Linked DNA regions of Callithrix jacchus. The protein of the gene in region 1 binds, or shares a complex with, the protein of each later gene. Links are inferred from orthologs where the notes say so. Each region holds a gene or a part of one and is shown on either strand. Other genes may lie near its edges.

Region 1 (3,811 bases):
TATAGAGATGGAGTCTTGCTATATTACCCAGGCTAGTTTTGCACTCCTGGGCTCAAATGATCCTCCTTCCTGTCTCCCCAAATAAGCACTGTAAGCATGAACCACATGCCCAGTCACTGCTTTCATTTTTGTATGACTATTTCTGTAATAAAAAAATTCAAAGAGTATGTAGTCATGATTGTAGTAACATATATATTTTTTAAAGTTCAAAAAGGTAAAAAATGTTAATACAATTAATCACATTAAGGGAGGTTAATGAAAAAAATCCAAAACACAATCTTTATTTTAAAGCAGTGGTTCTCTGATTTTAGCTTTATCAGAATCACCTGGACAACTTGTTAAACTGAGTATTATCAGGTCCTATCGCCAGAGTTTTTCACCAAGTGGGTATAGAATGGGGCTTGGGAATTTGCATTTCAAATTGCCAATTTCTTAGGAGATGATGCTCCTGCTGTTGGTACTCTGATAACCACTAAAGCAAGCTCTAGAAACACAAGAATCTGATAAGCATATTTGAGAGGCATCATGGTCTTTACCTTTCACAGTTTTATGTAGAGGAGGCAAACAGATTGTTAACAAAAAGCTATACATACTCAATTACGAATATACTTTTTGTTTATAAAGGAAAAGGATTACATTGTGAGAGATGGAAAGGGCATATATGTCATCAATTCAGTGTCAAAATTACCTAAACGAAACCAGGGGCACAGCTGAAGACAAAATGATTGCAGTTCAATGAGTAAATAAAAGACACCATTACATCCTCAGTCTAGCAAATAAAATACACGCTGGGAAAAATGCGTATGTAAACAGCTTTAACAAGATAGAGAAAAACTTCCTACAGAAAGGAAGAGGGGTAAGGAGAGGGCAGGATTCTTCATAATTAAACATTTCAAAGCTACTGGCTTGAGAGCACAGCTAAAAATACACTGCTATTTTAACAGACAGTATAGGTGAACGTAACAGGCAAACTTTTAGACTGACCAAATTTATATAAATACGAATAATTTACATTATGACTGAAAATGATTGAACATACACATCACCTCTGCTCCCTTCAGCTGTAATGCCATTAAAATACGATGTGAGAAAAAGTGTTAAGGGGGTTAAACAAAAGAGAAAGGACAGGAGAGAAAGGACAACAGCAGAGAGACAGCTGCCCACAAATTCTGGAAGAAAATGATAGGTAAAGAACGGAAACTGATTTTAACGTAATAAAGTAAAAGCTTAAGAGTCTTCAGGTAGGAAATGCAAGGCTACTTCACACCCAGAATCCTTACCCTTCTACCCCCAAAGCCCAGGAAATGGGGTAAATGGGAAACATAAAGTTATCTATAAACAAGTTGAACAGGTAAGATTCCTGAAGCTTGCCCAAGAGAGCCAGCCATTTGCCCCAGACATATAAAAATGAATGAAGGTTTATTCTCTTTGGAGAACATAAGTCTGAAGAACTCTGGACTTGGCAGAGTAAAGAACAGAGAGGCTGCTGAAAACAGGCAGATTAACTATTAATATTTAAATATGAGAACAAACCTCCCTCCTTCACTTCTCAGGGCAGTTGGCTCATATCACCTCTCCCCACCTGTATTTTCACTTTCCAGGAGGTTGAAAAATACCCTTCTGAGGAAATAAACTAGCCCATAAGAAAAGACTATAGTTAATTATCAATTATTGTGGTTCTATTATATTGAGAAACTTGTTAGAATAAAATCCATATATCTGGATATTTGCTAGTATCACTAAAAAAGAATTTAAATACTTTACTAAATTCTAAAAGCTGCCCTAAATAATAAGAAAAACACTGCCCAAAGAGAATCTGCCTTACGCATTTACTTTACTGTATTTGCTGGACCACCTGCAATTGGCAAGTTGCCACATGCACACAAAGCATAGTAATTACTGTTAATTGTTTAACTTACGATCACTCTACTTATCCTTAATTTTAAAGATCTCAGTTGTTTCTTACTCAAACTTTCTCTACTGCCTGCCCCCCAAGCTTCCACAGCACCCTGAAATAAATGCTATGAAAGAAAGACAAGTAATTATTTGATGATCATATTTCTCTCTGTAGACAGATATATTGATTTTTATGTAGTACAGAGTGCCTAACAACAGACTTAACAGTGTCTGTCATGAACAGAAATTTGCTAAATTAAAATGAACCATTAGCAAGAATATCTTTATTAAAATAAAAATTGCTCATTTCCAATTAATTTAACATTAAAAGGGAAAGCTGGGAAGTAGGATGAGTAGGAGGCTTCTGTTCTTTCATATCTGGGTTTTGAACATACTATCCTTTCAAAAACATATATAAAAATAAAAATTTTGAAATTAAGGAATTTTAAAAATGATCAGTTATAGTACTTTTGAAATAAGTATGCTTACCTTCTCTGACATCACACATGATCCCTAAACTGTAAGCTAGTTAAGGATTTTAGCCATCTTTGTCATCCTCTTGCACTGACTAATTTGAATTGTGGTCATATAAATAAATATTGAAGTTTCTGCTTACAAACAACTTACCTTCATCTACAGTGGTCATATCTTGTTCTAGTTTCAGTTTCTGTTGGTTAATTTTTAGCATGGATTCTTCAATCGTCCCTTGACTTATTAGTTTTATAACTAGTACTTCTCTAAAAACAATGCAAGATATGTCCATTGGTTAATAAATATAGTTATTTGGATATTTCTAAACTATAAGAGTTCAAAAAGAATACCTTGAAAATTATGACAAACAGATCCTTAAATTCTTTTATTTCAACTACTTGAGGCTGACATTTTCTGATTATTTAACTTTTAGACACTCCTAAAGATTCAAGAAAAGAGAAAGATATTTGTACTTTAAAAATTACTGGCTGGGCACAGTGGCTCAAGCCTCTAATCCAAGCACTTTGGGAGGCTGAGGTGGGTAGCTTGAGGCCAGTAGTTCAAGATTAGCCTGGTCAACATGGCAAAATCCTGTCTCAAAAAAAAAAAAAAAAAAAAAGAAATAAAAAATTAGCTGAGCATGGTGGCACACACCTGTACTCCCAGCTACTTGGGAGGCTAAGGCATGAGAACTACTTGAACCCAGGAGGTGGAGGTTGCAGTGAGCCGAGATGGCACCATGCACTCTAGCCTGGGTGACAGAGTGAGGTTCTGTTTTAAAACAAACAAATAAACAAAACAACAACAACAACAAAAACACCAAAAAAAAAATATATATATACCATATATGGATAAAATTACATTACAACAAACAGTTCTTTGTTCAGATGGAAATAACATTTTTAAAAGAAACATGCTTTGCTTCTTAGGTCCTGAGAAGCAGTGTCTCTGTACACTTCAGGCAGTGTGGTCAAGCACAAAGTTTCACAATAGATACTGGTAAGTATTTAGTCTATAAATGACAACACCAATATATGTTGGACATACACTAAAATACTTCACGAAGACACTGTCTGCTCTTTATATATGTAAGCAGAGTTGCAACAATCTTCACCTCTTTACAGTGCTGTGACAAATGTCAAAACTGCCATTCATCTAAAATAATCTACAATTCAATTTACTTCCTAAAGGGTAACAGGATAGCCCAGCAATAGTTTGTACATTACCAAGTTTGTCTGGCTGTTAAGTGGTCTAACAAGTGCATCTTTTCAAATACTAATCTTTTTCAAAGGGGGTAGACCATTGCTTTTCTATACATCATCTTCATGAACTGCAGAACTATTTGGAATGTGGGTGGATGGTTTTAATTACTAGAAAATGGAAGGGTTACATAGTGCAGTTGATGTTCAACACTGCTGGTACAGAATACATCAGTAGCCATGCT
Region 2 (3,911 bases), on another chromosome or scaffold:
TGCTGGAAGATGAAATGTCAAACCAGGACCCTCAGAACGGTGGTCACACACCCCTCTTGAGCAGAATCTTGGAGCTCAGAATAATCCCACTCAAAGACCAACACATTAGTAACCTCCGAAAGCTGGGAAAGAGACTTCCCCAATGCCACCCACTCCTGCACCCTAACCCTTGCCTGGAACATCTGAAATCTAGGACACCCTGCAGCCCCTACCTATCCCTCCTGGTTCCTCAAGCCCCACAGCCACCATCTTCCACCAATGCCATCCTCTGGGATGGCAAGAATCACAGTATGGCTAGCAAAAGGCCACTCATGGAAGGAATCTAGGCCAAAAACTGGGCTAGACTCAAAAATCTCTCAATTTCCTTTCCAAACCAAAGCTAGTGTATGTCTACAAAAAGCTGGAAATGCCAAACCAAACTCTGGGTAAGTCGCTGACAAATCAAACCTAAAACACTTCCAGCAATCATCATCACTTATACTCCATGGATCCACAAAGCCTCACTTTCCCTAGCAGTGTCTTGTACCACATGTGTGCCAGCGAACCACTAACCCAGTAAGCCCTTCACACCATGCCTTTCCCTGTTTGCACATGCTGGGCCCTTCACCACCAAGACTGAGAAGTCCCTGATAAGTAACCTTAAACCCTTTATACCCTCCTGCAGCACAGTAAGGTCTCCCCTGTCTCCCGTTCTTGTTCCCTCCCACCTACACCCAGAAGACTACACACCACAACCCCAGTTTTCCTGCTTTTGGAGTTCTGCCCTCAGGCCCTTCAAGTGGCACCCCCTAGAGAACTCTAGAACCCATCCACCAGATGCAACCAACATTAGGAAAGCAGCTGAGGACACACTGGAGAGCAACTTCAATAGCCCCCTCAGCCTCATGTACCAGTAGAGCGCACAGTGTGATCCTTGGTGTACTTCACCCGCTGGTGTGCCTCTACACAGGTCTCACACAGAGGCTCCGAGCACTCCACACAGTAGCTGGTGGCTGGGGCATTATCCTCACAGCTAGTGCAGCACTGCCAGATAAAGACAAGATAAGAGAAAGCAAGACAACCTGATAGGTCCACATTTACATTCCAGAAAATACAACCCGAGATCAAGATTGGTCCCTGGACCCAGCCTAGGCAGCCCACCCAGAGCCTTGGGAAAGGGGAGTTAACAAGCCTGGAGCTGGTGCAAAGCTCCTCCTGGCCACATGTCCCCTCCCCATAAGCAGAGACCTCTTTGTGGATGCTGAGGTAGGACGCACCTGGTTCGCATCCTGGGCGTCGGTGGCAGTCTTGCTGCCACTGTCACGCATGAAATAATTCTCCACGATGTCTTTGGAGAAGCATTGTTGCTTGCATACGGGACAGTCCACCACTTCGAGAGACAGGGATGTGGGAAACTGTTACAAGTTCCCACCCAGGATATGGCCGGCCACATCCCCCTGCCGGCCGCCCCCCCACCCGACCATTATCCCGCAGCGAGCCAGCCCCTCCCCTCCCCGAGCCTTTTTTCTCCAACTTAAGTCAAATGTCCCATTCTCAGCGGCCGGCCCAGACCCACGTTGCTATGCAGAACCCAGGAAGTACTCCCCGTGCCCTGTCCGAGCCCCCATCCTCTAGCCCAGGTGGCATCCTCATCTCTGCACCCAGGCGGAATCAAAGGCAGAGAGTGGGGGAGGGGTGGCCGGAGCCCTGACCACTTCGTACTTACCTGCGCCGTCTCCCGCCGCCCCGCCGTCCCCCGAACTGTTGGCGGAAGCGGGCGCCGCGGGGCCTAGGCAGGCACTACAGGCCGAGTGCAAACAAGGCAGCAGGCGGGGCTCCCTCTCGGGTCGCAGGCGCTCTCTGCACACGCCGCAGTGCTCCAACAGCTCCAGCGCCTCGGCGCCGCCCCCCGCGGGCGACGACGCCGCGGCCGAGGCCGACGCCGAGCCTGCGGCCGAAGAGGCGGTGCTGCGCTTTTCGCCGCCAGCGGAGCCCTCACCCGGGCCGGGGCTGCCAGAGGCGGCCGAGGCCGCTGCTGCCGAGGCCGCCGCCGCCGAGGCCGCCATTCACACGCCGCCGGGGGCGCCCAGGGGGGAGGAGGGGCGCGGGGCCCGCCGCGCAGGCGCAGAGGCGCTCGCCGCCAACTGCTGGGCCGCTGCCGCCGCCGCCGCCGCGAGGCCGATCGCCGCCACGCGCCTCCTGGGCTGCTGCCCACCGCGCGCAGGACGCTGTTTGCGACACGGCCAGCTGCCGCTTGCTCGCTTTACGAAGGCGCCGCCCGCGCTTCTCCAGCCGCCGCCGAAATCCTCACCACGCGCCACAAGCACACCCGCTCGCCCGCGCGCTGCTCGCAGAAAGAGCCGCGACTGAGGGGCGGGACAGAAATAACTGGCGCCGACGACGCCGCGCACGCGCAAGGGGCGCCGCACGCCCGGGGGCGGGGCCCAGGACGGTCGGTGCGGGGAAAGGCCCCCAGTACGCAAGCGCCCACCCCGGTTCCCTCCACCACCGCCAGCCCTACCTCGGTGGGGCTCTGATGGTAGCGGGGCGGGGCATACGTGACGTCACTGCCGCAATGTAATCCGCCAGCGGGGCGTGCGCACCTTTATAGAGTGTGAGTCCCGTCTCAGCGCCGCCTCCAGACCACACTGAAGGAGGCCATTGAGCGCCCAAGCGCGTGGGCAGTTCGTACCAACCCCTCAACCAGCGTCTCTTCGTCCCGCTTAGAGTCTCTCCAGCCTCGGCGTCACTAAGAGTTCGGGATAGGGGGCAGGGCCGATGGGGAGGTGGGCGGGGCCAGGATCGAGTGAAGGGCTGTGCCCAGGGGAGAGGGGAGGAGAGTCTCCATCCTACTAGGAGGGAGGCAGCTCCTGGGTGAGCGCAGAGGCTGACTTTTGGAATCTAGCCACGTTATGATTAAACTTGAGAAACACAGAGAGTGGGGAGGAGGTGAAGGGGAAAAAAAAAGAAAAAGAAAAAATAATAGTCGTGAGAAACACAGAAACTCACAAATCAAATGTAGATCACGGCCGGGCGCCATGGCTCATCCCTGTAATCCCACCACTTTGGGAGGCGAGTAGGGAGGCTCCATTTAGCCCAGGACGCCGAGGCGCAGTGAGCTGGGACTGTGCCACTGCACGCCAGCCTGGACAACAGATCGAGAAAAATGTTTTTGTTTTGCTGTGTCGCCCAGGCTGGAGTGCAATGGCGCGATCTCGGCTCACTGCAACCTCCGCCTCCCGGGTCCAAGCAATTCCCCTGCCTCAGCCTTCCGAATAGCTGGGATTACAGGCGCTCACTACCACGCCCGGCTAATTTTTGCATTTTTAGTAGAGACAGGGCTTCACCATGTTGGCCAGGCTACTGTCGAACTTCCGATCTCAGGTGATCCACTCGCTTCGGCCTCCCAAAGTGCTGAAATTACAGGTGTGAGCCACTACGCCCGGTCCCCCCGCCCCAAAAAATGTAAATCACAAGAGGCTACAGAGCAAGGAGTGTGAAATCCCATCCAGCCCCCCCAGGAGTCCCTTCTGCTTGTTTTAGTCAGCAGCTACCCTGACTTTGACCCTTTTCCAGGTGGGAAAACTGAACCTCAACAGTGGGGAGTCCCAAGGAGGGAAGGAAGCAGGCCTTTGTGGGGAGAATCCTGTCTGAGGGACGCAGGATCTGGAGGGGAGGGATCCTGCCTAATGGGAGAAGCAGGGTCTGTAGGTAGAGGCAGACCCGCCTGGGGACTATCAGCGCGTTGAAAACCATGAGGCTGGTCCCGGGGGATGGGCTTCAGCCCCCAGTGCAGGGTCCCTGGTGTCCGGAGGTCTCCGGGCCAGGTGACAACGGCGGGGTGGGGGGTAGGTGGCAGCTTCTGGAGGATGTTTGGAGGCCGCGAGGACTGGCGCGAACAACCATGAAACCCACTCGCCACTCTCGAAGTG

What was found.
Region 2: the proteins of SMARCAD1 (region 1) and TRIM28 are in contact, whole or in part, in a crystal structure (PDB 6H3A), measured with the Homo sapiens proteins. The link is inferred for Callithrix jacchus from reciprocal best matches to the Homo sapiens genes SMARCAD1 and TRIM28. Residues at the interface, in NP_001362784.1 of Homo sapiens: Asp156, Leu157, Ala160, Lys161, Gln163, Thr164, Glu167, Leu168, Phe169, Asp188, Gly189, Ala190, Ala192, Leu196, Ala201, Gly202, Gly203; in NP_005753.1 of Homo sapiens: Arg330, Trp333, Thr334, Lys337, Ile338, His341, Leu376, Lys377, Ile379, Val380, Asp381, Val383.

The regions. Positions count from the first base shown.
Region 1 is NC_133504.1:103,271,642-103,275,452, forward strand, and holds part of SMARCAD1 (SWI/SNF-related matrix-associated actin-dependent regulator of chromatin subfamily A containing DEAD/H box 1), read right to left. Parts: intron 2,634-3,811; coding exon 2,524-2,633; intron 1-2,523. UniProt on the Homo sapiens protein: DNA helicase that possesses intrinsic ATP-dependent nucleosome-remodeling activity and is both required for DNA repair and heterochromatin organization.
Region 2 is NC_133523.1:51,178,994-51,182,904, reverse strand, and holds the start of TRIM28 (transcription intermediary factor 1-beta), read right to left. Parts: upstream 2,348-3,911; 5' UTR 2,046-2,347; coding exon 1,706-2,045; intron 1,370-1,705; coding exon 1,257-1,369; intron 1,024-1,256; coding exon 891-1,023; intron 1-890. UniProt on the Homo sapiens protein: Nuclear corepressor for KRAB domain-containing zinc finger proteins (KRAB-ZFPs).